2 linked regions of the Kluyveromyces lactis genome follow. The protein of the gene in region 2 purifies or fractionates together with the protein of the main gene of each other region. This does not show direct contact. Links are inferred from orthologs where the notes say so. Each region holds a gene or a part of one and is shown on either strand. Other genes may lie near its edges.

The links.
Region 1: the proteins of MFB1 (region 2) and SKP1 purify together in Saccharomyces cerevisiae (affinity purification with mass spectrometry; 4 studies listed by BioGRID, with this or other methods). This does not show direct contact. The link is inferred for Kluyveromyces lactis from reciprocal best matches to the Saccharomyces cerevisiae genes MFB1 and SKP1.

Annotation. Positions count from the first base shown.
Region 1 is NC_006041.1:1,495,094-1,510,384, forward strand, and holds SKP1 (SCF ubiquitin ligase subunit SKP1), read right to left. Parts: upstream 13,341-15,291; coding exon 12,792-13,340; downstream 1-12,791. Other genes in the region: DFG16 (Dfg16p), read right to left, coding at 1-1,204; SWM1 (Swm1p), read left to right, coding at 1,626-1,958; KLLA0_E16875g (bZIP transcription factor), read left to right, coding at 3,530-5,056; chaperone ATPase HSP78, read left to right, coding at 5,607-8,084; YSP2 (Ysp2p), read right to left, coding at 8,417-12,427; PEX3 (Pex3p), read right to left, coding at 13,646-15,097.
Region 2 is NC_006042.1:1,204,720-1,220,960, reverse strand, and holds MFB1 (Mfb1p), read left to right. Parts: upstream 1-5,873; coding exon 5,874-7,421; downstream 7,422-16,241. Other genes in the region: KLLA0_F13222g (uncharacterized protein), read right to left, coding at 1-282; KLLA0_F13200g (survival factor 1 family protein), read right to left, coding at 1,035-2,327; GTB1 (Gtb1p), read right to left, coding at 3,213-5,201; BUR2 (Bur2p), read left to right, coding at 7,752-8,936; septin SPR28, read left to right, coding at 9,201-10,373; ADY4 (Ady4p), read right to left, coding at 10,470-11,564; chromatin-binding protein RAD9, read left to right, coding at 12,393-15,275; DNA-binding transcription factor ADR1, read right to left, coding at 15,469-16,241.

The sequences.
Region 1 (15,291 bases), on a different chromosome or scaffold from region 2:
AGAGGTACTGCTTAGTTTCGCCATAGTTGATCTTCGGATCCACGAAGAATCTATCGTTGTTGTTGATCTTCCTACCCAACAACGATTTCTTGGAGACTTTCTGTTCTCTTTCCTCCAATTTTCCAATGAGACCCCAAGCGTTAACGAAGATCAGGATTCTGAGGAAAGCAATCACAAAATGGATCCAATGGCTTGAAGGTTCGCCTTGCCTTATTTGTAAAATCGCTACCACGTACAGTAACATATACACGGCAACGTTGTATATTAGAAGCGGTATTATTTCCTTGTATTCGTGAACAAACAAAAGCAGTCTTCTGAATATGGACATACCTTGATGGTCCACTGACGCTGAGGCAGATTTCAAACTGTGATAAGAATACCATATAGTAACCAAAAGGAAAAGTGTGAAAAGTGAGAGCTGAGATACTCTAAATACTATCGAGATGGAAGTTTGAGCCCTGTTTTCCCCTTGAAATAACTGTATTCCGAAAAATATTACGTGTAACAAACATAGGATCACGACCAAGGACATTATCCAATGAACTGCATTTAAATCTCTGAGCCACCTGGGCATAGACCGTCTCCAACGCCGGGATATTCCCCTACTCCGAGAGCAGAGATAATATATGACAATGATCCAATTCACATTACAAAACACCAACGAGAAGAATCGTACCACTTTAGACCATGTAACTTCCAATATCATTTTGTCAAATGCCAGAGAATCTTGATAGTTACTAATATACTGTATTTCAAAGACCTCATCGTTAGTCTTCTTCCAAATGACCGTTTGGACTATGGAGAAATACAACACGTACAAATGCACCATACGTTTCTGCCTGTTATGGTTTGTAGATGGTAGTAAAAATAAAAGTAAGAATAACATCCAACCTCCGATGCATACTCCGGATAGAACGAAAGCGATCACAAGGTTCCCACTGATAAACACGTTTTTCTGAGGAACAAAACTGAATTCCTTGGACAAGTCAGCCAACGCATCGATGAATATCGACGTTTCATCGCTATCCGTACAGTTCGCGTACCATGCTGGATAGTTCATGGTCTGGTTCCAGATATCTGTATCATTGATGAGTGAATTCACCGATCGGAAACTGCCACTGTTCAACAAGTACCCCTCACAGTTGAACTGAGACACCAACGGTTTTAACCAACTAGTATCAGCCATCGCTGTACCACCTAGCATGATGGTAAGATGGGGGGTGTTTTGCTTGAACTTCTTTTCTCCTTTTGTACAATGTCTATGTTCCGGTGTGAATGTTTAAATATACTGTGCCAAGAGTTTTCATGGGAAAGTTCACTTTCTAATTAGACTCGAGGAATAGAAGGAATCGGAAAATATTCCGAGTGGCAAGGAGATAAGGCTAATGAAGGATATCCTAGTGATGTGAATTACGCCCTACATTACTATTATGAAGTACGTCCGTTAGTTAGACGGTGCTTCTTACCTAACCACATGACCAGTCATATCAACCCCATTGAAAAAACTGGGAATTCCGGCAATAATGGCACACGCATACACAATAACATAACAATATAATGAAACAAATGTACATAACAAATAGAAAAGAAAGCAAGAGTGTATTCAACGCTTGACTGAAACATTCATGAGCTACCTCGATTCGGGCATTAAGACTTACCATTATGCCAGGGCACAGCATATGACGTGGAACTGGAACGATCCAGCCAACGAGGACGGGAGTAGGTTTTCACTTCCAGACCAAGAGAGCGTGCGCCAGGACGCGCACGCCGGATTGCAAGTCAACGTTGGTGAACCAAACTCCTATTGGGACTGCTATGTGGACGAAGACCAATGGCAAGTGTTTCAAGACTTGCTCATGGATTGCAATGGTAACTTGACTCGAAACGACGAAGCAGAAGGAAATATCTTCAGGCACGTGATCAAACCACGTGACTTGGAGCTTCCCTTACCAGTGTAAATGTGAACTACACACACAGGCACGGATACACCGTACGTTATTTGACAAAACCGCACGTCTTTCCTGTTCCACGGTACGCTCATTTCGCAAGATCCAGCGATTTTGCTGATTATCATGGTGCCTTCCTTGGTCTTGCCTTGAACTCTTGCCTGCCTTGCCTTGCCTGTGACAAATCAAATGACGTCAGCAGAGATCACATATCGAGACCAAACATTAATATTAACATCTAAACTACAAAATAGTAGAAATCAAACATGAAGAGAGCAACCAGTCACATGCAATAGGTAAGGTTCTTGATCTGGACTTATCAATGTCAATTGCAATCATTGTTGCTTACACCAGTCGCCTGTTCAGCTTCCTACAGCTTTTCCACATGCAGAGCGCAGCTCCCTGTGTTCGGAGAGAGACCTCATTTCTTCTTTCTTCCTCACTGGGCTCGGAATTTTCCCTCACAAAATACTTGGAAGACTGCGTAGCATTTTTATTTTAAAATGGCAAATAGCAAATAAATTTCCATACTGCACATAGTTAAAGATAAAGCAAGCCCGATGATGTCTGTAATGTGTGTTACGTTTGAGTGTTGCTACTCTACATGGATCGAAAAACGGCTTTGCTCTGGTTACCGTTGTAATAAATAGAAAAAATTCGTCAAGGAAAGGAGTGGGGTCTGAACCGGCGAGTGCTGCAAGTTCGTAACGTGCTGGATAGTAGTGTTACGTCGTCGACGGAAACATGAAGCATGAAGGATGAAGCAAGGACGAGGCTAACACTACATAACCTTTTAAGGGTTCGTCAATCCATTCACTATTAACTGTCTGGATTGTGTTATATTCACATCCGTACCAAAAATACAATATTGGTATAAGTAGGTCAGATGAGTAGCTAGTATTATATAAATACGACCGGCTTTTTCTTTTCATTCCTTTGCTTATTTCACCCGTGGGTTCAATAATATTCTCTTGCGTTTTTTGTACCGATAGGCACCATCACCCTCGTCTGCTTATACACTTGATTGTTAAACTGATTCTATCATAATAGTTTACTTATTATTACTTTTCACGATTAATCCTAAGGTCTAGTCAGAGTTCTAGCCTCAACCAGGAAATAAAGTCAGTTTTATCAACTCTAATAAAGCAAGGTCAACTGGATAAGAAGCTACACCCTCATCGTCATAACTTATCCTGTTGCCATCCCAACAAAAGTGATTTTTCGAGCATTCTATTCTTATATTCTTCTTCTATTTCGTCATCATAGTCATTTTCTCCCGCAGTAGAAAGATCGAGCAAGACCTGAATTTTTTTTTTTTTTTCAAGGTTTTCTCTATTTTGATATTTTGACGTTACTTTACTTCTTCCTAGTTTCCCTTCCTGCGATTACAAATCATCGACCGGATCAAGAACCCTAAATTTAGTTAAAGAATTTTGTGGTGTCGATAATATCATCAGTGGCCTTGGTTATCAATATTCATAAAGCTTAATCGATACGAATATTGTGATACTGTCTGTCTCTGTGATTTTTAGGCTTTTTCTAACGCACTTATTGGAAGAAAAAGTATACTCACAGGATAAGAGATGTCGATGAATAACTCGCAGTCATCGTTGTTGAATTTGGCCAGTTTGGTCCAAGAAGAGTCTAACAATAGTGGATCCGGAAATGTGGAAAACGGTACTAGGAGCTCCGTCAGTAATACCGGGTCTAATTTCTCTAATACTCCAAGAGCCATGCAAGATCTTTCATTGCCTCAGTTGAACTACAATAGTAGCGGCGGAACCAGCAACACCGGTACTAACTTGAAAAATAACAATGGTAATGCCAACAACCGAAATATTAATAGCAGTCATCATCATAATAATAATAATATCAATAATAACAACAATGACGGTAATAATACCGATGCACTTAATGATAGTGATAGGAATTCTGCCACTGAAGGGAGTATTAGTTCTGGGAACGACGCTTCTAGCAACGATAATAGGGATCTCAGTGTTGGTTCAGGATCCACAGCGAACCAGAAAGAAAATATGAACGGTAAGACCAACAATGAAAATGGCAATACACTCGATCAAGAAGATAATGGTGAACTCAACGATGAAGATGTCGAGGATAGGATACGTGACACTGCGAATTCAACAGGTAGGAGCACACCCGGTTTCATGCAATATCCTAAAAGTACCATGTCGACTGCGTCGTTACAGCGTATGAATATTCCGGTCCCGGGAATCGATATGCCCTTGGTAACAGGGGATAACTCGCCTCAACTTTCACCTATGAATATGAACAACCTGAATAACATGAATTTAGGGAACCACCATAGTTTAGGTAAGATTGGTGCTTCACCACTTGTGAACTCAACGCTTGGGAACTCCACTACGCCCTCTGTGACCACTACCCCGGTCGGGGCAGAACTAGGCGGTACTGGTCGTATCAACACGAATGGTTCTGGTAACGGTACGTTGATGGGCATGCAGATGCCTATGATGTTGAACAGCGGGTCTGATTCCAATACCAATCCAAATGCGAACGCTAAACTTACAAATAATTCCAATGGCGGCGGCGGTGTCATGTACAACGGCGGTATACCGGGTCTAAATAACATGCCAAACACGGCTTCTCAAAGAATGATGAACATGAAATCCGACCTTACGGATCTCCCAATGAACCCACCTAATAGTAATAATACCACAACCTCCACCAATACTATCAACGGTACCACGGGTATCAACTCTTCCACGACAAACGCAACAGGTAACCAGTCGTCACAGACATCAGGTTCAAACCCGGCGTCGCTACTACAAAACTCCACGACATTGGCTACTTCGACGTTACCTACAATCACAATGATAAATGACGGCGAACGTCTAAATACCGAAGGAGAATTAATTGGAAAGTCGGGAAAAGCATTGCGCAACACCAAGCGTGCTGCCCAGAACAGGAACGCTCAGAGAGCATTCAGACAGAGAAGAGAGAAATATATCAAGGATCTTGAATTCAAGGCAAGAGACTACAACAGAATAGCAGCAGAACTTGAAACTTACAAGGCAGAAAACAGAATGCTCAAGTTCCAACTAGGTCAGTACCAGCAAAAGATAAACCTTTGATGAATCACTGCACCATCGCTCTTAGTTCTAATGTAAATCTTGTTTGACAATAATTAACTCTTAACGCATACACGCATTCCCAATCACAGTTCTCACATCCGCAGTTTTTTCCCTTACGTATCACTTTTTAGTAAGTAATTGACCTGACTTCCTACAAGACATTCCAATTTCTATATTCAAACCTTTTCTCCGTTCCTGCTTGGTACTTTGCTTGTCCATAGTGAACACAAGATCCATATAACTCCCTGCTTTAGTTCCTAATCACGTGCCAAAATTGAACGTCATGTGACCAAAATTCCATGTTTTTCCAGAATTCGGGAGAAAACAACAGAAAGACCTCGGCGGTTGAGACATTTCGAAGTATATAAGAACAAGGGAGAATTCAGAAAAACAACAACAGTAAAGCTCAGCAAGAGGCATACAGTCAGATCAACCACTGATTCAGTTACGTTTGGTCAGATTGTTTATTAATAGCAGCCTTATTCAAACAACTACACAGTTTGCAGGTGAAATAGTGAATCAAGAAATTACAATCAGAGTGGATTAAATAATGCTAAGGTCTGCTGAAAATTTGAATCGTAAGCTAAGTCGGACGTCGCTATTAAAGAACGTTAAAATATATCAACCTAGTATATCTGATGTTGAACTTGGATGTACGTGCCGGTCTTTTAGCAGTTTGGTTCAAAAACCAAACCAAACTACAGTTGGAATAAGCCGGGGTAATAAAGTTATATCTGGTTTAAATATTGGTGCTAGAAGGCCCAATATAAGTAGTATACCGCCCATTTCTACTGCATTCAATGTCGCTTCTGTTCGTAGCTATGCTAAGAATTATAATTTAAATTTGAATAAAGATCAGGAGGGTGGAGAATCAGCTTTACAACAGTTCGGTACGAATTTAACGGAGTTGGCTAAACAGGGGAAATTAGACCCAGTGATTGGTCGTGATCAGGAAATATCGAGAGCTATCCAAATTCTTTCGCGTAGAACCAAGAACAATCCAGTGTTGATCGGTAGAGCCGGTGTCGGTAAGACTGCGTTGATTGATGGTTTAGCTCAAAGAATTGTTGCCAATGAAGTGCCAGAATCTTTGAAAGACAAAGACTTATACGCTTTGGATTTAAGTTCATTGGTCGCTGGTGCTAAGTACCGTGGTGAATTCGAGGAAAGGTTGAAGAACGTTTTGGATGAAATTGATAAGTCCAATGGTAAGATCATTGTTTTCATCGATGAAGTTCACATGTTACTAGGCTTGGGTAAGACAGATGGCTCTATGGATGCTTCGAATATCTTGAAACCGCGTTTGGCAAGAGGGTTACGTTGTATCAGTGCTACCACATTGGATGAATTCAAAATCATTGAAAAAGACCCTGCCTTGACCAGAAGATTTCAGCCTATCATCTTGAATGAACCTTCTGTTCATGATACAATCTCAATCTTGAGAGGTCTAAAGGAAAAGTATGAAGTGCACCACGGTGTAAGAATCACAGATTCAGCCTTAGTTTCCGCTGCTGTGCTATCCAACAGATACATTAACGACCGTTTCCTCCCAGATAAAGCTATTGATTTGGTCGATGAAGCATGTGCTGTTTTACGTTTGCAACACGAGTCAAAGCCTGACTCCATTCAAGCAATTGATCGGGCTGTTATGACAATGCAAATTGAATTAGAATCCTTGAAGAAAGAAACTGATCCCGTTTCTGTTGAAAGAAGAGAGGAACTTGAAAAGGATTTGGAAGTGAAGAAGAAAGAATTGGAGAGGTTGACTGAAATTTGGGAAACCGAAAAATCTGAATTGGATTCCATCAAGACTGCCAAGGAAGATTTAGATAAGTTGAGAACCGAATTGGATATTTGTCAAAGAGAAGGTGATTATGCCAAGGCTTCTGAACTAAGATATGCCAAGATCCCTGAATTGGAAAGAAAAGTAGCACTGAACAGCAAGAAGGATACTGAAAACAACTTGTTACATGACTCTGTTACCTCTGATGACATTTCTAAAGTCATTGCCAAGATGACAGGTATTCCAATGGAAACCGTTTTGAAAGGTGATAAGGACAGATTACTATATATGCAGAATTCATTAAGAGAAAGAGTTGTTGGTCAAGATGAAGCAATCGATGCTATAAGTGACGCAGTGCGTTTACAAAGAGCTGGATTGACCAGTGAAAAGAGACCTATTGCTAGTTTCATGTTTTTGGGACCTACTGGTACCGGTAAGACAGAATTAACTAAAGCTTTGGCAGAGTTTTTGTTTGATGATGAATCTAACGTTATCAGATTTGATATGTCTGAATTCCAGGAGAAACATACAGTATCAAGATTAATCGGTGCACCTCCCGGTTATGTGTTAAGTGAAAGCGGTGGTCAGTTAACTGAAGCCGTGAGACGTAAGCCATATGCTGTTGTATTATTTGATGAATTCGAAAAGGCTCATCCAGATGTTTGTAAAGTCTTATTGCAAGTATTGGATGAAGGTAAACTAACAGATTCTCAAGGTCACCAAGTTGATTTCCGTAACACCATTGTTGTTATGACATCGAACATCGGCCAAGACATTTTGCTGCATGATACCGAATTAGGTGATGATGGTAAGGTTAGCAAGAAGACTAAGAGAAGCGTAATTGAAGCTGTTAAAAAGAACTATCCTCCAGAATTTGTCAATCGTATTGATGATTTGATTGTCTTTAACAGACTATCAAAAGAAGTTCTCCGTTCAATCGTCGATATTAGACTCAAGGAAATTCAAGAAAGATTGAACGACAAGCGTATGACCCTAAATCTAACTGACGAAGCTAAGGATTGGTTAACTGAAAGAGGTTATGACCCATTGTACGGTGCTAGACCTTTGAACAGATTGATCCATAAACAAATCCTAAATCCAATGGCTATTCAATTGCTAAGGGGTCAATTGAGACACGAGGAGACTGTAAATGTGGTTATTGAAGATAGCAAGTTAGTGGTTAAACCAAACCACGATCCCGAATCAAGTGAACTCGGAAATGACAAGCAAGCTGATGTTGAGTAAATCTCGTTGAACACCCGCAATTGCTAACTCTCCAGCGTAATGATCGATATTCTTGACTTTCTGTGCGTTTCCACTGAATTCCTAAATTATGCACCCTTGTTAGACCGCCCCGGTAGTAATTCGATAATAATATTACGGACTGCTTTATGGCCAAATATTAAACTTTTATACATGTAAATACGTACCAAGATGATGCAATCAATATATGAGACATGGACTTTTAGGCAAGGTCAGCTCAATTGACCTCTTTACTTTTGATGGCGGCTAGAAGATATAAAGCCAAATGTGATTAACTATGCCTATGAATATTATATATTAGTTACAAATTGCGATTAAGTCGAGTTATCGGTTAAATTTGCTTTTTCTTTTAGCTTCATTAATTGTAACTCAGTTAATCTGATAACCTCTTTTAAATTTTGCTTCTTATGTTCCACAGCTTTGTTTAAAGGAATAGTACTGTTTATATTGTAATTGACATCTAAATTCGGTCCAGATTTTTTGTTTAGTTCCGAGCCGCTGTGTGAATCAATCCAATTCCATAGATCATATTCAGAATCAGAATAAAGTTTACTGAATGGCTTATTTTTATTACCACGCCTATTCCTTCCATAATACGTTTCCATGGCAGGCAGAACATAGTACTCCTCCCCGTCCATAACAATTGTACTGGGACTAACGAAATGAGGCGATGGGCTTCTGTGGAATAAACTCGAACAGAGTCTAGGGACAAATATGATTAGTATAAGCAGCACTACAGCAGCAGCAGCAAGAATAATAGGAGGTAAGTCAGCAACTAGATCCTTAACAATACCATATATTTCTTGGACAGTTGCATATAATCCGCCATTCTGTACTTCTGGTTGTTCCCTTGACTTTGATATGGTTTTCCTCTTTGACCTGGATCTTTCAGTTTTCCTTCTAGATATCGTTGGTCTTCTTTTCGTTGTTGACGACGCAGAAGAAAGAATGTCTTTTATTTCAGCTACCATATCCTGAACGCTAGCTTTCTGTCCGTTTATAGATCCTTTTTGTATAGCCGATTTGATCCAACTTTTCCCAGTCCATTCAATGTTCGTTGCTGCTAAGACATTGGTGGTGTTTTTTTCTCCCCAGGAGAAGTAGAATTTGGTATGCACTTCGAATGAATTACCAGATGGGATTTCTGGTGTCTTTGATATTTGTTCAAGTACCATACACGTGTTAACATCATCAGATTCAATCTTCTCTTCGATGTAACACTTTGCTTGCTTTGGACCAATTGATCCTGGTAGCGGCTTGACGTATGTGTACTTTCTAGTCTTATTCTGAAATGGTGGGATATCAGATATTTCAATATTCTTTTGCCTTTCCAATATTCTCTTCATGTATGAGGTATCATCTCCGCATATTAATTGGAAGATGGTACCAACAGGAGACTTGAAACTTATTTTATCGTCAATAATTTCATAGCCGCTTGATTTTTCAAAAGTGCATTCGGTTGGTTCGTGTTCCTTAGGTCCCAAACATGGTAGTGAAGATAAAACCTCTTCAATATCCTTTCTGTTATCTGGGGAGCTGCTCTTACCTTTGTTTTCCTCGATGATGTCTTCAAGTTCCTCGAAAAGAATTTTCGTAGAAGATTTTATTCCGTCAAAGGTTCCCTTTTCAACAGCCGCTTTGATCCAACTCTTAGCAGACCAGTCCACGTAAGTATACACTTTCACCTTGGTTGAATTGTCATCAGCCCAACAGAATAAGAATATTGTTTTAACAACGAAGGAATTACCCGAAGGTATATCGGGAGTTTTCGAGACTTGTGTGACCTGCACGTAATTTTTGAGATCTAACTTGTCGATTGATTCAGTAATCTCACAGCGAGTTTTACTTGGACCTATACTACCGGAAATTGGTTTAGTGTACACGTATTCTCTTTTTTTGGATTGGATTATTTCATTAAATTTGGAGATATCATAGTTGCCTTGAGCTTTTAATATTCGATCAAAGTATTGGACATCTGAGCCATAGAGTATATTTATCACTGTACCAAGAGGGGCGTTCAAAATGGTCTCCCCCATTTCTCGTTCATTTTCTTTTGGCGTGTAGTCGGGAGTAGTCGGCTCATGTTTCGAAGGACCCAACTGTGCTGAGCTTTGAGAATTTGAACTTTTGGAAAGTCCTGAGGGTCTTGCCTCGTCAGACACGCTATTTGTGCTTTCCTCAGAGCTACTTGTCATATCATCTGGATTTATGTCATCGGTATCGTCGTCATCGTACGAATCACTTTCATCACGGTTACCATAGGAATCAGTGATAGATGTGGAAGTCCGGTCGTTAGTCTGAACATCCTCATCATCGTAATCCATGCTTGAAGCTTCACTATCAAGAGTCAGATTCTCATCATTCATCAGATCGGCAGATCCCATAGTACCTCGTTTAGGCTTGAAGTTTTTATTGATTATTGTTTGATTCCATATATCCATAATTTGATCAAATGTACTGTCCCTTGATATGAAAGATGCAAACAGGAACTTGTCATGTAAGGTTTGTATCGATATGGCATTAGGAAATAATACGGCAGTGTTCTTTTGTTCGATCTGAACTATCTCTTTGAATGGAACTACAACAGTCTTCATCCATCCCAAAATATTCGAGTAAAAGCAAATGTGTCTATCAGATATGTATAACCTACCTTGAATGAGAATATCTTTTGATAAAGCACAACTGTAATCCGCTATTAATCTTTCAATTGGAGATACTACGGTGTCTTTAAAGATTGTATGGAAATCTGTATTACGCTTAGCACTTGCATATTCAATGCCTTGAAGTTCTGGTTCTTCAGTTTTTCTCTTTATTGGAATGTCCGAAGTTGACAGGCGTGTTGGTCCTCCAGGTGGTTGAACAATATCACTGGTCTTGGATATGCTACTCGCTCTTGTCATGTTTCTGCCCGAAAATGAATTTCTTAGGGGTGCTGTAAATAATTTCGTAGCTGCAGCAGGCGACAATGATCTCATAGTTAAATCTCTCAACACTTCGGGGCGTCTTGACCTACCGTTCCTCGGCCTAGTTTTTTCGAATGAAGGACTGGCAGAATTTGTATTGCTGTCCGTATTTGCATCATCATTAGGCATTGAGAGTGGGGACGGAGACGATACCGGTCGATCTGGTTGGTCTGTGGTAATCAGCACACTTGGTGTATGAAAGCCGGTGGACTTGAGATCATCTTTGTCCTTTTCAATGGCATCTAAAGTTAGATTTCCCCTCCCAAAGGTCGAAATTGGGGGGGCATTATCTTGCTTTACTGATGTAAATTTGACTTTATCCATGAAAGTTCCCACAGAACCAATATCATCACTGTTATTACCATCTTGATCGCTATCATCGTATAACGGCACGGTAGAAGACGGATTAGTCATTTGTTGAGAAATGGAAGATGTAGAGGAGTCGCTGGTATTAAGGGTGTCTAGTGTCGTCGCCTTCTTCAGTAAATAATCATTATTCGAGCTGGGAGCAAGAAGGAAGTCTAAATGATTCAGAAATGAGCCTGTATGGTTGTATGGATCATTACTTGTATCTGTACCACCAATACCAGAAGTCAGCAACTGAGTTCTATCTCCATTGGACGGTTCATCGTAAAGGCTGCTACTACTCTTCAGTGAACTTTTGGGTATCAAATGGTTAGCAGCGTTATGTGCAGCCGATATTAGCGATGAAAAGAGGCCGGAATCAGATTCGTCTGGCTTACTCTTTACGGGAGTCGCACTATCACTTTTCGAAGACTTGAATTTGGTGAACAGAGTCGTTGATGGTACGTCAGATAGAGAAGCCTTGCTATCGCTTACCCGTAACCTCGAACCCAATGGATCAGTGTTCTCTTCCCTTGTCATTGCAGTTTGATTGAAACCCTCAGTGGAAGACGTATCATTTCCTGCATTTAATGAATTCTTTCTCGGAAGCCTCGACAATGATGTAGAAATCCTCAGCGACCTCGATCTTGACTTTTCGCCAGACTGTCTGCTACTACGAATCTTGATGCTTTGGATACCTGAACCCGTGCTTGAAACATTGTTCTTATCAGAGGCATGATTCGCAGATCCTGCTTTATGGTCACTCCCATCCATCAAATACACCTTATCATAGCTCGAATTCGACGATAATGCAGATGCATCATCATTGACATTGGGTTTCAGACTCGTAGACCGTAGCACACGTGTATTGCCCTGAGACTTTGGTTGACTCTTGTCCTTATCCTTTTTCTTTTCCTTGTTCTTCTTCTTGCGTTTGTTTAAATTTAGCAACGAACTAGTATTCCCGCTTAGCGATCTTAGTCTGGATTTGGTCTCCTCACCAATGGTCAACGTCATCACAATCCTACACCAAGTATACCAGTAACAAGGGTCCTATGGTGCATCTATCGATGCAGTTCTGCCTTGAATAGATAAAACCAGAAGCAAAAAGTTTCAATTTAAGGTAGCGCGTTCTTTAAATATTATATATAGGTACAAAAATGAAAAATTATCGGTGCAGAGACAGACCTTGAAGCTATAAATGCGATATGAAAGCGATCCCTGCGTTTGCCCATGACTCAAATTCACTACTTCAATTAAGATCCGCTTAACAAGCAAGTACTTAAATTATTGATTACATACGGGAAATGAGGGAAATTGCTATTTTAAACTGAAGAGGATGTAGATACAGAAAGAGAAAACAACAAGAAAACTTGTAAGTTTAACGGTCTTCTGCCCATTCGTTTTCACGTCTTATGGCAGCTTCTTCCTCTGGAGTGAAATCGTTAACGATATTGAAGGTCCTTCTGATTTCTTCAGGTGTTCTGCCCCTAATCATCTCCGCAACAACTTTACATCCAGCATCCAACAATGGCTTGATATTTAGATAGTTAGCTGCTAGAATAATCTCATATAACATTTCTTGGTCCACTTTCAAGAACTCACGGTCCCATGGATCCACAGGCGCAGCTTTCCTCGAATCGTCGTCATCTTCATCGGGGAAATTGGAATCCTTGTGATGAACGGCCCATTCGATCACTTTCTGTAATACTGACGACCTCACATTGGGCACGGGCATCACTATTTCATCGTCACCATCCTCTTCATCATCTTCGTCATCGTCAGCATCGTTATCATCATGCAAATCGCCACTGTTAAGATCTTGCAAGTAGTTCTTTAGTAAAAGTGAGCGTTCAGCGATCTTCCTGTCAACGACAAATCTCTCTCCCTCAACACTCACTAAAACAACGTTCTGGTTTTCCTTGGACATGATTTTCTGGTACTAAATAGAACCCACTTGGTAACTCTATGGTGCTAACTAACTACAAACACCAAGCTCCTATCCACTTGCAAACATTAACTGAGATGTATAACATGTTGATTGACAACCTGTTGGGAATTCGATTCTTTTCGTTATTTGACCTTAAGGAAAAGAAAATTATGATCACGTGGCCATTAAAGAAACAGGAAGAGAAACCCCGTAGTGCCAGTGAAAGAGTAACGTTAACTATAGAACTATCTACATACACGGTATGGAGCGATTTCAGTACTTGAATGGAGGGCCAAGTAAGGTTTTCATAGACCGAAGTTACTATATACGCATGCACTGAGATCGTCAAGTGCCGAGATGGAGTGTAGTTTCTGTAGGAACTTGTTGTTCATTGATACGAGTCCCGCTTTCAACATTTCGTTTGTGCAGTCTTTCGTGGCGATAGAGAATAATGCGATTTGATATGAATTTTTGGATATATCGACTACTTTGGTGTCGTCATCATTCGATTTAGGTTTCGATTTGCTGTTGACATTATCCTCGATTTGTTCCATGATTGTGTGGAATGTTTCATCGATTAAAGACTCCAGGACAATCCATGTTCCAGGTGATTGTAGGCATTTGTTGGTCTCTTGTACAAGTTGTTTTAGTAATAGATTATCCTCGTATAGTACTTTCAAAGCATCTTGTTCTAAAGTTTGTTGAAGAACAAATCTCTCTAAGTTAGGTTCAGGAAGTAGACATGAAATGAACATTTCATTCGATTGTGGCTGTTGAAAGAATTGCTTGTTTGTGGTGACGAATATCTTGCTTATCTTGCCACTGAACTCATCCATTGTCATGATATCTCTTGGGTTCGAATTTTGGAACTCTTCTTTCACCAATTGTTCAATGATACTCTTGTATTGTAGGTATCCACGGTTTAATAACCACCACGATAAGGATAAGAAAGCTTGTTCGTTAACGTATCTCGATTTTTCAGGGTTCGCAGTGGATGCAATGCTCCTTGTGTCCGTGTCAATAGTACCATCGCTGTTTCTTGGGTCAGCTTTTTCACTGGGTAAATTGTTGCTCTTTTCAGTGATCCAACTAGAGAACCAAGATAAGACTGAGTATTGATTAGCCTTCTTTTCCCTTTCCTTTTCCATGGCAGAATTGATGGCAGTATCCAAATACTCTCTTCTTGCCAATATATTCAATTGCAATCGGGTTAAAAGCATCAATAATGATGTGGTATAGGACAAGATAATGATCTTGGTGATAGCTTTGAGTTTCAAATCGTCCCAAAGCTCGGCCTTGGATTTCGTAGACGTTTCAGAAACGCTAGTGGTATCTGCAGATTGCGGAGATTTCGCTGACACACTGGGTGCAGGCGTCATCGCACTCATTCCTGAACTTAAGCCCTCATTTTCCAACTCATTCCCAGCTATTTCACCTTTGGAAAGCTTCTTCTGTAACTTTTTCCCCTTTAGAGCCTCTACAATAGAATCAAGATCGAAATCCTTAGCCAACACTAACGTCATTACCGGCATCAATTCATAAAGAGTGTACAACGAGTCCTGCTGAGTTTGTACAAACCTCCGTTTGATCTGTTCCTTGACAAATCGTTGCTCCGTCATTTTCAAATGCTGCTTGTACAACCATCTTTTACTGAAATAGACCGTAATAGCGCATGTAGCAAATAGCGTAGCAAACAAAACACTAGAAACAACGAACTTCTTTCTGTGTCTCTGAACCAGAGATCGATTCCCAGTCATGATGAGGGGTAAAAAAATAACTTATAACTTAGAGCAATGTAATTCTTCTATTGATTTTCCACTACAGCCGTTGTCAGATTGCGTGTAGAGCTTTCCTAGTGTCGTTGTTTGTCTTGATACTTTATTGATGTTGATGTTTACTTGCTAGTTAGTTATTTTAATGTTTTTCGAATTTTGTTTCCCCCTCAAAGAGC
Region 2 (16,241 bases):
CTTTCCGTTCTTACCCATCGCATTCGAAGATCGACCTTTTAGCTTAGTTCCGGCTTTGGGATTCTTATATAACGGTAACTTGGACAAATTCGAGCCCCTGCTGTTCGAATCCTGTGGTATATCACTCAGCGACGAATCACTAGAATATATTAGACTGAAACGTCTCGGTCTAGAACTTAAATGCGGAGGCTTATCCTTCTTATTTCCCATTTTATCCTGTAACGCTTTCAGAGTCGTAGGCTTCTTCCCACTAGTTAACTTCCTCGGGCTTTTACCTGACATAATATATATGTGTTATCAGTTGCAATTAGCAGCTGCAATAATGGTATTCTACTCTTTAGTGGACTTTTCTATATGCACCTGGATCAAATCAATAGGCTCAACAATTTAATAAAAAGAAAACCAAAAGAAAAAAAAAATTTCTAGGTTATAAAACGTTTTATCCAGTTCAACACAATCTTTAATAACTAGCTAATCAACAGTAAGTGTCCTGGGATCACACACAATTCAAATCTTTATTCCTTATTCCTTATCCTTTCTCTTCGCAGATAAACGACTAGTAGAATGAAACCAAAAAAAAAAAAACCGAAGAGCAGGGAAATCTATTCCTGAATATTCCTGATCTTACTGCACTTCTAACCTAGATACGTAAAATTTTCCACTATCTTTACAGCCAGCGTTGGTAGGAGAAACTCTGATTTGATCAAAGACAGAGACAAAGACAGAAACAAGGTTATTCTCTGCTTTTTTTACACACTATTTTATTCTAGTCCCAATTTCTTGAGATGAGCTCTAAGTTTACTTTTTATTTCTCTGTTTTCCTATGAAAATTGGTTGAGAAGATAATGAGGAAAAAAATTTCTTTTGTTGTACCGGGTAATGTTCTGCTGTGTTTGAAGATTGCCAAGATACGTAATTTGACGTTTGACGTTTGACGTTTGACTCTTGGATATGGGAGATCAGATGTCTGGGATTAATGACGACTCGCATCTATTCACTCTGTTAATCATTTTTTAAATTTATCTGAATTGGATCTATGGACTTATAAATGTTGTTTCTACAAGTGATATTGCACGTTCGTCATCTACCTCGGTTCTTTGACAGAACTGATATAGATATGGGTTGATTCCTTCCACCTTTTCCACAATGCCTTTCAATACCGTGGGCATCTCTTGTAATATATCGTACACATTGATTAGATTTAAGGGCCCCAATAGTAACGTGGGGCATAGTTCACCGTCTTTTTTGGGTAACGGAATCTCTACGATGTTTGGATACTCTACTCCGGTCTTGGGATCCAGTGTTAGCCCAAAATGTTTCACATGCTTATGTTTATCCTGTATACCGCAATATATGCGCTGTGATGAGGTTATCTTGTTTGTGTCCGACGATATGGTCACTGTTTGTTCACCGTATTCTTTTGGCGTTGTAAACTCCATACATAAAATTGTCCGTCTAGGTGACATGAAAGCAGCGAAATTCCACGATTTGGCAGCGCTGTTAGGTTTAAGGCCTTGCAATGCAGTGATGAGGACCATAGGTACTGAGTGAAATTTTATCTTTTTCGAGTTCACCACTATATGCCCTGATCCAGTACAATTCGGAGCAAATACATGTCTGATACACCTGTCGACGTTTGGGTTGCCCCTCATGGGAACTCTCGAGAAGAAACTCCTACCATCGGGTTTGATCTTGAATCCCTTGCCTATATTCACATCTAAACTGATGGACAACTCTTCCGTTTGACCTTCGACACTTAATGTGCCTATCCTTGATTCATTCGGAACCGCTTCAGCTCCTTGATAAAAATTGCGTGAGCGTTGTTTCTTTCCAACAGTATCTTCGTCCCAACTGGGGTCACATTGTTTCCGAAATATGAACCGCATGTTCTGATTGCTGACTTCTAACGGGGTGAAAACAGATGGCTTCTTTAATTTGACGTTCTTCCAATAATCGATATACTCACTAGCATTATCACTCCCAGAGTCATTAGTACGGTCCTTGTCTACATTAAACACCTTGATGTTCATTTCAAATGACTTGTAGAACCCTCCTAGGACACTGCTGTTTAAGAATTGGATAAATCCACAGTATCCACTATCTTGATCACAAAAATATAACGTTTGAGTTTCGATCTTGGTAGCACTACCCTTTTTTATAAGTTGAGAACTGCTTTTTGTTATACCACTTTTCGCAAGTGCATTCCCAAGTGCGCTATCATGGTTCGCATGAGGATACGTTTGCCAACTGAATCCATCAACGTCATTGATCTCATCATAGATTTCTTCACCTCCAGCGACACTACCAACAGGTTGAAAATATCCCATTCCTTAGCTTATCGAACCGAATTGCTGTAATCCGTTCTCAAATCTCGTTGTTGCAGTACTCCCTTAGGTACCTGCCATTGGATATGTTATTCTTCTAAAAGGCTTTACACTGAAAAAAAAAAACCATCCTGAAATGCCACAGAATACTTATATAGGTTCTGTCAACTGATATTGACACATACTAATGCGGAAACATATTCTTGCTAGAAAAATTAGTCGTTTGCCATTTTTGTATCCGTTTTGACATGTCGTACGACTCAAAAAAAGGAGCCTGAGGGAGAGAGAGGGGTGCGGGGGGCGGACTTAACCCGTAGATTCGAAAAGGGCACCGCTTTCCGTTTGCACGTAATGAAATAGCTCACAGTACACTGATTTCCATGCCACTTAGAGGTGAAAAAAAAGGAAAAATAGGCAGCTCCAATTCCTTAAAGTTCTTGTCCAATCCTGCGTACAAGGGATCTCCAAGAAGATTTTCTTCTTCAATTACCATTACGCCTTTTTTTTTTGGGACTGCGGCGAAGTTCTAGAATGTTGACATTTCCAGCAGCCCGTAAATCTTCTAGAGCATGACTTACTATACGAATTGACCCAGTTCCCTTAGTTACCTAATGCCTTTTCACTTGTTTCGTCGTACTTGCCACAAAAAACGGTCTTCTTCCTTTTATGTCGTTTAGTGCAGATATTGCGGCAGAAAGGCATGCAGGTACCGAGGGGTACAAAAAAAATTTAAAAAAGTTAAAAAGCTTATTCCGGCATATGATTACGTTCAAGCGCGCACACACAGCGAGGAAAAAAGCGTTTATTATATAGCCTGTATTTGGACTAGGAATTAGTAGATAGATGAGGTGTTACAGCCACAGAGAATAATCAGCCCTGATTCATTCGTTATATTAGCCAGTTTGGTCTTTCATAATGGAAATGAGGATCGCATCCTAATGGTCCTGTCATTTCAAATACGTAAGAACATCTCGTTGGTTCTGAAACCGACTCGATTTTGAAATCCGGTGCACATCTCATTTGAATTGTGGCGGATCTTAAAGGACCATCCCAGCATTTAGTACCCCCTCTGTACTCTAATATTAACCCATTGTTCAAATCAGGTAGATTTCCCAACAAGATTTCCTCTTTGCCGATTTCGACAGTGTCACTTGATAAATGGTTGCCAACTTCTGTGTTTGGATACCTATATTTCAAGCTTTGAAGGTAAACGTCATATTTTGAATTGGTGTCGATCGTGAAGCCTCTATAACGGCCTATCACAACTTTGTTACCATCAGGTTTGTTCTCTATTTGAACAATATCACCGCCTTTGTCGTTTGAATAGCATAATCTGTAGATATAGGAATTAAGTTCGCTATCGACACAGAAATCCTTTAAATTATTTAGCAACGTGCCAACTTGTTTGTGGATCAATTGTGACTCTGAGTATTCTCCACCTTGGTCGTTCAATTTCTGTTTCAATTCTATGATCTTCTTTTCTGTCTTTCTGAGCTTCTTTTTTAGTGAGAGTCGTTGCTCTTTCATGAATTTGATCTGGGATCGGTAGGATTGCAATGAAGTAGAGAAAAAGTTCATACGATCGAATGCACCTTGGACTATCCTCATTACACCCCAGTCAGAACCTTCCGTTCCTGAGTCGACTGCGATGTTTGGTGCCTCTTTCCCAATGAACAGCAATAATTCGGAAAATGTGTCACTGAAATTCTCAGGGAAATCAATGGCGTACAGGGAATCCTCATATTTGGACATGAACGACATATAACTGTCGGTGAAGCTCTTCACTGCGCCGTCTTGAAAATTTATGTCATGATTTTCAATTATATCATCTGCAATTTGTTGGAACTGTTTTATTCCATCAAGAGTTAAATCCTTGGTTTTATACTTGACGTTAATGATTCTCTGGATAAAGTTAGATTTGGCAACGATAATCTCAGGAGTATATTTGCTTTTACCCTCAAATAAAAATGTTGGAAGCTCTTCATTAAGATATTCATTGATTTGGTCACGCTGAGTACCGTCCAAGCGGCCGTCAGGCTGGAAGGACTTCTTAAACTTCATTTCTAATTCTGCAAATTGCTTCATGTTCTTAATTACCACTTTATCATTAAGTTTACGGTTATAAGTTTCATATAAATTATTCAAGATGAACTTTAGTTCATTAAAAGCATTTGATAACATTTGAGCATGAGAGAACACAGACACTACCGAGTCAGTGATAAAAGTAACGTTTAAGTTCTCGTATTCAAATAATTGTGGCGATTCTTCAAAGAGTTTACATCTGTAAGATTCCTCTAAACTTTGTAAATTTTCTTCGACATTGTTCAATGCTGTTTTAAGATCCACTGAGTACGTAGTCAATCCATCTATTTGAAAATGAACATTTTCAGCACTGTTGGGATCGTCTGTATTATCTTTCGTCTTGGATTTGAGTTTCTTCAAAGCAGTGACACCAGCACGGTAATTTTCCAATTCTGTGTTAAGTATTCGCTGAAACTCATCATTCAACTCTGAACATGATTTACCACGACTGAACGGCTCACGCAAATACTCATCTGAACAATCACAGCAGTCGCATACACCGTCGTTAATCTTATAATTCAGTATATTTCTTGGAGTGAATCCTTCATTATTACAGTAGAAAAGAGCACGCTCTTGAGAGGCATTAGTTCCTGGTTCATCAGAGCAATCCGAGCAGTCACACAAATTATCATTTATAGAGCTGTACGGTATCACTTTTGCTGTATCATCTAGGCATCTCCATTTTGTTGGATCCTCTGGTAAGGGCGAGTATAGTGACTGATTCTCTGGTGGTACACCTCTTATACTTTCGGAAGCACATGCCAAAGAGAAAAGTACCATCAATAGTAACAGCATGTTGTCTACAGTTGCCTATGGTCTCGTCCTTACAGGGGATTTCGGGTTGGCTCTTCTTCGATTTACGTAGTGAGCCATACATAACTTTTCATGATGATCTGCTATATTTAAACTCAAAGATTCGTTAAGGAAGCAGACCACACATAGAAAAAACAAGAGCATGAGCTACCAAAGAACACTTACTACGATCCAACATCATTTCTTGAGGGTTGAGGCAGCCATTGACACCATGTTTTCTCAAGGGACTACAAGAAAGGTCCCAAGTAAACCTCTTGCTTTTCAAGTCACATGATCAAACAAGTCACATGATAGATAATTACCCAATTAGTTTAATTGGTAAACAATGAACCTGGAAGAGTAAACTGATGAGAAGTTAATGAAACCTCAAAGCATCGAACTTTGTCCCATTGAAAGGAGCTAGTGTTTACAAAATTCTGTGTATCACATGAGTTTCTTGGTTGATTTGCTTTTACAAAGAAGCTAAGAACGATATAAAGTGGTAGAAACACGTAAGGAATAGTGAGAGATCTTCTCTATGAGACGATAGAATTGACTTCAAACTTATATAACTAGAAAGAAGGGGAACGAACAAAACCAACCGATTAACACCAATATAAGAATCGGTAAAGCTTTAAGGGTACAAACAGAACAAGAATACAAATTAAACAACAAATGGAAATCTCTGGTAAAATGCATGAGGGTGACAGTCTAGTGGTAAGTCCTAAATCATTAGATGAGCTACCGATAAACGTTATATTCCAGATACTATCAGAGCTCAAATTCTCTGATTTAAAGAATGTGTCAGCCACATGCTGGACGTTAAGAATTCTTACGAATGAAAAATTAATGTACTATAGTATACTTCATGACCCAAAGAATCAATATTTATGGACGAAAAGATACTTTTTAGATTCGCTAAGGATGTTACAAAGGAATAGACGAGGTTTCGATTTTGTATCTTTGAATGACACAACATTCTTTCAATCCCTGCGATATCTGCATAATGGAGTAAGGAAGGTCTCAGGGAACCTCTTGAGACTGTTAGAATCAAATGATGATTTAGGGATAAACGAAATAGACACTGCATCGGAAAGTGAAGACAATGACAATATGAACAACGATGAAAATGATAATGAAAGTAATGGATATGATAGCCAGAACCAGCGAGTAGGAAAAAAATACATTAATGACGGGAGAACTGATGGTGAAATGATGCCCGACAACTCAGATCTCTGGGAAACTGAAGATGAGTCGGATATTGACACAACTAATGACGTTAATGGATTGGACCAAATATACGCTGAAAATATATCAGTTTTTGAGGAGGATACTGGGAGTGATAGTTATAATGATGGTCAAATTCAACCGGTGCAAATATCTATGAATGACTTTGCTGATAGTGAAAGTACGCCTACTAAAAAGCCACGCACTAAGCCGACAAAGATCGATAAGGAAGGATTGAAATACTTGAGAGTTTTGGAAGGCTTTCATAGGATTGGTGTAATTTCTGGGAGAGAAACACCTGATAGGATAATTACACATAATACCTCTGCGACTCCAAATAAATATGGCAACTTACTCGATGATGTACAATTCACCCCACTCAGCACAATAAGCTCTTTACTAAAAAGAATTGACTCTGGATCAGATTCTAATCATGCCCATTCTCCCGATTCGTTTGGAATTTCGCATTCGCGGTCAGGAAGTTCCGTATTTTCAGATGGTGCCCCTAAGTTAGCAGATCAGCCTTGGTCAAAGATCTATGAATTGGATCATCAATCGCTTTCAAGTTCTGATTCTGATTCTTCTTCTTCTACTGAATTTATACGGCAGTTGCAATCGTCTAAAAAGGTGAAGGACAAGGCTGTACTGTTTGAACGGCTCCTGGCTAAGAGTAAAGAAAGAAGCGTTTCGTTGAAGGAGAAGAAATCCCATGCATCAAGTAATAATGGTAATTGCCGAAAGGTGTCAGATGATTACTTGGCAGAAACAAGAAGAAACGCATCTCCAGCACCTTCATCAGTTTCTTCGATAGATACTGAAATGAGATTAACAATGCAAGAGGTAAAGAACAATTCAAATGATCATTTTGACTCTCATGCCAAGACGAAGAGTTCATCCACTCACGGAATAAAACATTCTAAAATTCATCATAGAAAGAAACTCAAAGCTTTGGTCATGGACGGAAATCGGATTTGCTACGAAAAGATAACAGAATAACACGATGACTTGACGACTTGGGGAATATACTACGATACTGCCTCAAGCCCACACCTTCATTTTCTCACATTTTGTCTATGAGTGTTGATCACAACTGATCTCAACATATAATACAAATGTATATATATAGTTACCCTACATTCATGATAACTTCCTTTTTATTCAGTGAATTACATATGCATCGTTAAAATCCACTGGCTGGCATTGAATCAGGAAAGAGAGACGTACACACCACTACAAACGTCATTTCATCCCAACCAACCATCTCATATCTACTCCGAATTTTGAGTCAATTTGAACGAATTTCTCGTGAGCTTTAACAGATTAAAAATGGTCCTTTCAGCCAGCGAAGAGATAGCTAATTCCCAGCCCAGTGGTAATGGTAAGACGTCATTAGACATCAAGCAGAATGAAGGGAATCCTCAATTCAATCCAAGAAATCTTTGGCCTGATATAATCAAATGCCCGAAGAATGAATGGACATTCGAGTATACTGATATAATTAAAAGGTTAGGTACTGATGAGGAGAAAATTCAATTGACGAAGAAGAGAATGGAGAAGTGTCTCATGTACTTCCATAAATTGAGGAAGGAGATGAAACTTTTCGATCATACTTACACTGCAGCATGTATATTATTCTACCGTTATTGGTACAAGTATGATCTTCCGCCTACTATACCTCAATGCATCCATTTGGCGCAAGCTATTCTAGTTACGGCCTGCAAAACCATGGAAAATAACAGACCAACTGACCACTATATAAAAGCAACTTGTGATTTCATGATGAAAGATGGCCCGTCCCCAACTGGTCAGAAGTTGAACGTGGAGAAATTGAAATGGGAGGTCAGGGACCAACTTGTTTCATATGAAAAGAAAGTGTTATGTCAGTTAGGGTTCGACCTTGACATTGACAATCCGAAAGAACTTATAGAGGAAATATTCAGTGGATATTACAGACATGTTAGAGATACTGATATTGATGCATCACTTCGAGAGATTTTCCCCGTGATTTTACAAGAAGCAAGAAATTTCATCATCCAAACAGGAACACAGCCAATTTCATTGCTATGTGATGGATACACACTTGTGGCCTTAGCCCTAATATTCGCTGGTGTGACCTTTCAAAAAAACAAAGAACCGGGCTTCAGCTTCCCTCATAACTTCTTCAGGAGGCGTTTCCCAGTAATTATAACCAGTGAAATCATTGCTTCGTTGTTCTCGCATTATCAACAACTTGAAAAAGCCTTTTTCGATTTGAAGAGCAACAAAAATAGCGCTTTATCCATTACTGTTGACGAAATAGACAAAGTGATAGATGAAGATAGACAGTTAGATCCCGAACCATTCAACCCTTACGACTACGACATCATAAAGGAGGGAGAAGTCAATGAAGAACTTTTGAACTATACCGAAAGAAAGATCGAAGAGCTTTCGAATAGAATCATGTCTGAAAGAAGCATAAAAAGACCTTCAGAGCCACCCGCCGAACAAGCTACGAAGAAACCGAGATTTTGAAAATTAATATAAACTATGTAGTATCATCACGACTCCATTGACGGACAAACTCATTCATACCTTTTTTCCCTCGATTTTGTATGCACTATTTTATGACACAAAATCGTCGCTTCTTTTATTTCACTGTCGAAGAATGTTGTCAGATAAAAGATAAAAAAGGGTTCGAAGAAAGAACCACATCATTGCATCATACTATTTGCGCACGGAAAAGATACGAAGGTTCACGAACGGTGGCAAAGTGAACAGTGTTTCCCATCAGCTATAATGTTTGGCAAAAAGAAATCTAATTATCAGATGCTTAGTGCAGAAGAAATTCGTCGCAGGAAAAATGCCAAAAGAGGCATACAGTTCTGCATGTTGGTGATAGGAGAATCAGGTTTAGGCAAGTCCACTTTTTGCAATAATATCTGCAACCAAGAGGTTTTTGGACACGAAGAAGAGGGTTTTGATCCTGCCACCGCACATTTGAGCCCAGGCATTGATATTGTGTCCAAGAATTTCCATTTACAAGAGGAAAATTCTACACCAATAAGCCTCGACATTGTTCTAATTCCAGGTTTGGGGGATAATATCAACAATTCTAATAACCATGAAGTCGTTGTTGATTATTTGGAATCCCAGTTCGATCGCGTGTTGAATGAGGAAATAAGAATCAAGAGAAACCCAAAAAATGTTGACACTAGACCACATGTTTGCCTATTCTTCATTAGAGCAACGTCAAAAGGCCTTCGTGAGCTAGATATAAAATTGATGAAGGCGTTATGTGACAAGGTCAATATCATCCCAGTCATCAGCAAAGCTGATTTATTAACCGAAAGGGAAATAGCATTAAATAAACGTCTCATCATGGAAGATATTTATGAAAATGATATCAATATCTACGATTTTGTAGATGATAAACTAGAAGATACTTTGATGCTTGTCGAGGCTAATGATTCTAGTCCAATTCCTAATAACACTTCTTTTGACAGTATGCAGCAAAATAGTTATGGTGAAGGAACAGCCCAATTGAATACAGCTTGCTGTAGAATCAGGGATATGTTACCATTTTCGATAATTGGTAGTAATGAAGTTGAAGTCTCACCAAATGGAGAACTGTTTCACGTGAGAAGGTACTCCTGGGGAACTGTAAAAGTGGAAAATAGGGCTCATTGTGATTTCATTTATTTGAAGAACATTCTATTAGGATCTCATCTTCAAGATTTGAAAGATACAACGCACAATAAGCTATATGAAAATTACAGAACGCAAAAGCTTTTAGCTGGCAACAACTATCCGTCAAATAATGATGAAAGAGATATTCTTGCAGAAAGTACTGTTCTAGAGCATCAACTTAATCATAAATCAAAAGAGATCAATGAGGAAATACGTGGCTACAGTTCTAAACGTCTTGATGAATTGAATAGTAATTTTGTAAAAGAAACTATTTCAACTTAATCGATTCGATTTATTAACACTGCTTCCCACTAATATATAGATAGAAGACTTGGTGTTACATATATAACAAAAATTATATAAAAGTGTACTTTTGCTTTATCTTTCATTGAGCTGTCGCCAAAATTCTATGAAGTTATTGGTACCATTTTCGCCCATTTCAACATTATCACGTTCATAATCAGACCCACGAACTTTTCGTTTCAACTTCTCTGCTTCTTTCGAATAAGTATGTCGGTTTGATAAGACGGGATCGAATTCAGAGTCGACTATTACTTCATTGGTAGACAACCGGATTAGGACACTTGGTAAAAGCTTGAGATGTTGATGATTCTGTGCAACTGACTCAATTATATTCACAAAGGTACCAGAAAGCGAAAAATTAGCATAATCAGTGACAAAGTGCTGTTCATTTATGGATTTTGCACACTGGTAGAACTCACCATAGAAGTAGTTGAAAGTAGCTAAGTCAACTTTATTCACAAAAAATAAACCCATCAATATTTTGTGGAAACATACAAGCCTTTTAGGGTCATCGAATGGGAAATGAACTGCAGCTAGCATGTAATGACGGATCATATAAGTGGAAAAAACTGTTTGCGGTATTATCACAGTAGTCTTAACATCATGTGCGTGCTCATAGTCTAATACTTTCCCATCGAGTAGCGCAATAAATTCATAGATTTCTGCACATATCTTGAAATACTCCGCAGTCATATGCTTATTCTGGATGTCCTGTTGTGCAGATATTACACTGCTTGAATTTTCCAATATTGTGTATAATATGCCTTTGAACATGTCCAAACGATTCACCCTAACCGAATTGAAGGACACGTATTTTACCCTTTTCCCTTGATTAAAATCTAAATTCAAACATTTTGCCAGATAAAGTGAAGTTTGTCGAATTATCCATGTTATCCGAGACGAGGAAAGGTCTGATCGCTTCTCACTGTGACGCTTATTTTTAGAGACTGAAATGAACTGTAGAATCCAGCGGAAAGAGAAAAAAGCGGTCCCATATTCTTCATCTAGAAGCTCGAAGAATGCTTGAATAATTCTGAAGTTGATGATAATGTTTGTCTTCCATCTAAGAACAAAATGATCATCTGCATATCTAGCACATAGATTATCCGACATATAATTTGCATCCACTGTAAAATCAATATCGGGATTGTGATCAAGAATACCCTGCATTATAGAAATGATACGCTGTTTGCTAATATTACCATTTTGGAATCGTTCTTTCACAAGATTTAAGGGAATGAACGAGAGTATGATATCCACAAAGTCGTCCCATACTTCCGTTGAATCTTTGATTAGTTGCTTGGCTTCAAGCGTCTTGAGACATTTTTCCAATAACGACTCAAAACAAAGTAGAACATCAACATATGAACCTAATAGTAGATGACATTAGAGTTAGTATTTACCATTCAATCGTTATCATTGTTAGCTTTCATTTAATAATGTCACTTACCATTACATTTCGAATTTTTGTCGGTCATGATATCACAGTTATTGTTGCCGACTAAAGGGTGCTAATCACGAGAAGCAAAATTATGCTTGCTTAAGGCGAGGATCATAAAAGCTACACCTCTTGTGTTGGTATATATCGTTTGTGCCAACAACCAAAAAATGCATTCTAAAAGGTTCACTTCATGTGTGTCTGACACCCATCGATAGAAAATATCATACTTTTCCTTAGAAGAACCGAAAATCAATTCCTAGAATAGCAAACCTGCAACCAGTGCTATACTAGCAACTCATATACTAATACCCTGAAGAGATGCGACCGGCTATGGATACATAATAATAAAACTCACACATCGCACAGTTGACTCTTTAATGTCTTAGTCTTTAACAACTACAAATGTAATATTGACAGAAAATCATAAACCAAAACAAGAAAGTTTACAGTATGTAACGCACAACTAACAAAAGTTATTAAACATTCGATAAAAATACGGAGCCAAAATATCACTTCATTCTGAACCATCAATATCAGTATCTGCTGTTTCATATGGTATGACAGGAGACGAAGAAGACAGTGGTATTACCAAAGAGACTCCCAATTACAGTCCAGATCGAAAACAGCTATCGAACAAGATAGAGTCTACTTCCTCAGATGAAATAGTGTTAAAAGAAAATACAAGCACCCGAACGCTCACGGGAATTAACAAGGCTATAAAGGCTTTGGGTAATACTGCTCTCAATTTAAATCCAACGAATAAATCCCTGTTAGAAGACACACCTGAGGGAAATCGAGATCTCGAGATTAGACGAAGAATTGATATCCAATCAAAGACTGATGTATTGCAACGATTTCAGGAGAAAGACTTGAATATCGAAGTGGAATTACCGTTTGATTTGACTCAAACTAAAGGTATTCTTTTGAATAACAATGACACATATCAACCTGAATTATTAGACACGCCATTAAAGAATAAGATATCGATTCGCTCACTTAGGAATGCTAAAGGTGAAGTGAAGGCAGCTTCAGAACCGATCAGCTTGATTGAAAATATCAACTCGTCCCCAGAGGGGCATCCACAACCATTTATAATGACACTGAAGGATGCAGATAATGGTAATATCTTGGGTGATATTGACACTCAAAATGTAACTCAAACATCTAATGAAATGTTAGTACCTGCAACGAATTCAGCTAATGTAAGTCAAACACAAGAAATCAGGTCTACATTGGCCGATGAAAAGATGACTCAGCTAATTAGAACTCAGTCTAATAACCTCGATGTCTCAGAGAGCTTATTGAAACTAGATGAACAGTCTGCACTTCAAGAGACATCAATAGTGCATACATCTCCAATCAATTTTGGCTCATTTCATCACAGTCTTCTTCCTTCTACCAGAACTATATTGACACAAAAGGAAACAGGTTCTAATTTCAACGAAGAAATCCAGTTGGTTCATTCTCCAGCGGTCGTTAATCTCCGACCCATGCAGCAGGCCTCCAATAAATCACCTTCAACAGTATTTAGTGAAGAAGAAAGAGAAGAAGAAAAAGAAGATCAGGAAGTAGCCAAATGTCACTCGTCTATTGAGATGAACAATGAATCTTCTCAGAAGGAACAAACAGATGAAAACTCGAGTGAAATGAAGTTTAAACTCACATATTATGTCAAACCATCCAGTCAGATATCCGACGAGGATGAACAAATTGGGGGTGTCCGGAATGATGCTACCGATTTGAACCAACGTAAACACAATGAACATAATCCTACGAATGATGTCTCAAGAGAGCTCTCGAGACTGGATACAGATCAGGAATATGAACAAACTCAGGAACTACCTGAAATTTTCGAACGCAATGAGTGCAAGCACAAACCGTCATTTGAGTCACAAGAACAACTTAATGTATCCAAGAAACGGAAAAACAAGCAGCTAATATTAGAAGAAGAATTTGAAGATAGTAGTACACCAAGTAAAATGACACAATTTACAGCTTTCACTGAAGGTGTCTACCTGCCGAAAGAACTTCGTATATCAGATGAAATGCAGTTGACTAAAAAAGATGTTTTATTCAATAATGCGGTCTGGTATTATTTTAATGATTGCAATTTTTATCCTGGTAAGATACTTTCCGAACAGCGTACGAAGCCTGGGTATTGCTCCGTTCTTTTCGAGAAACGTCAAAATGATGTTAGGGTGGAAGACATTTACTATTTAGATATTAGATGTGGAGATAAAGTCCACTGGAAGATGAATGAATATCAAGTCGTAGCTTTAGATTGCCAGATCCCACAAAAAGAAGATGTCATTCGATGCATTAGAGGATATGATACGGTGCATTTAAGAAAGGTACTGAGAAACGGAAGACTCAGCAAGAATGATATTGTAGATACCATTGCATCCATATACGTTACCACCGGGGAGTGGATCAAACGAACCAAAATAAAACTGGAAGATGAAGACAATGATCCTTTGGATGAATTGAGACGTTCTGTTAGAAGTCGATCAGTGAGGGATTCTATTTCTCCTATGAAGAAAACCGCTCAAGATTATAACAAGTCAACTTCAGAGATTTTCAGAGACACTTTCTATGATACTACTATAATGAGTGGATTAGAAGGACAGGGAGGTTCTGTTTTCGAAAAGTGCATCTTTGTATTGAGTGGACTTAATGATATGGATAGAAAAAGGTTATCTTATCTAATCGAGATACAAGGAGGATATGTCTCCAGCGTAGGGTTTGAAAGTCTGTTAAGATATGAAGACAGATCAAGAGAGTTTAGTTGGAACAATCCACGTTTTAACAGTTACCGTTTTGGTTGTCTTATTGCGGGAAACTTTTCAAGAAGTCCGAAGTATTTAGAAGCATTGGCTTTGGGATGGCCTGTACTACATTGGAGGTTTATTGAGTCATGCATAAACAAAGGTTATATCTCGACTCAAACGATACTACAAAATCTTTTGCCGAGCGGAGAAAGTAACAGGTTGATGGCTGACTTCAATCTAGGTATTATCAAATCAAGCAATGTTTTTAGTTTCCTGACAAACTTCAATAGCAGTTTGACTTTAGATGCACAACTAAACAATGCCAGAGTAGTTTTGGAAGATTACTCGATATTGATTTTAGGAGACTCCGATATGAATTTTTTCGTGGACTTCATTTTCCAGGTGTTTAAAGTTGGTCATTGGGAATACACGAAAAACTTGAAGTTGAAACCACAGCAAGAGTTGGACGATGATCTGTTCGACCAACTTGTAGAATTTCGGCATAATTACCACAGTAAGAAGATGATACTTTTCATCAACGAGACGTCTTTGCAGAACTCATCCGACTGGGAAAATAGCATTTCTAAAAGGTTCCTGATGGAGGGTATAAATGATTTTAGGATCAAAAATAAGGAATGGCTGGTTCAGACCGTAATTAATGAAGAGGCGTAATAAAAGTGTATCACAGTAAGAGTACAATAATTGACCCGACTGATAGAAAGTAGAATAAATAAGAGTTACATTATATTCTCGGGATTAACAAATACTGTTCAATTATTTATAAATAGTATACTATAGGAATTTTTTTTGGTCATTTCGTGAGATCTCATACATCAAAAAGCTGTTTAATTAAATATTACGGTAGTCATAGGGAATTCGGATTGAAGTAGTAATCTCCAGGAGGAGTGTTTGAGTTTGGCAAATTCAGCATGTTAACAAAAGAATGAGTGTGATCGTTGACAGGATTATTGTTGCTTCCAAAGAGATGGGTTCCTTCATTGAAAATAATATTCGTAATTTTGCGTTGATTGTCTAATTTTGACTGAAGAGTGTTAATTATGTCAATGAAATTTGTCAATAATGAACCATGTACATGTGATTCATATATCAAGAGGAAAGAGCATTTGGCAACCTGTAACAATTTGTCTGATAGATGATAACGGTCATAAAATCCCTGTCTTGTTCTAGCACCATTCTGTTTACATAGATCGTGGTGCCTTAGTAAGTTTATTGATGACTTGCTGGGTCCTGGAGCTGGTTCAGCGTAGCCTGAATCAAATTCGAATTCATTCAACGAATTGACAGGACCAACTGGCATTTTCAAATAGTTATAGTCATTGAATGATTGTACTAAAACTGATTCGATGCTCTTTTCCAAATGTTCAAGACTGAACGTATGGACAGCTGGAGCCTGTGGAGAAGGTCCATCATATGCCGTCTTTAAGTCAGTGAATTTTGAAAACTCCAGAGGGTAATTATGGACAAGTTTCGGAATCATTAACTGCTCTACCAGTTTCCGTAACTCCGCAAATATACTCAACACCTTGAAATTTGGAGTGGCTTCAAAGTCTAATATGAATTTTAAAATGCAAAGGAAATTGAAGAAATAACCCTGAATTTGGAACAACGAGGTTTTTG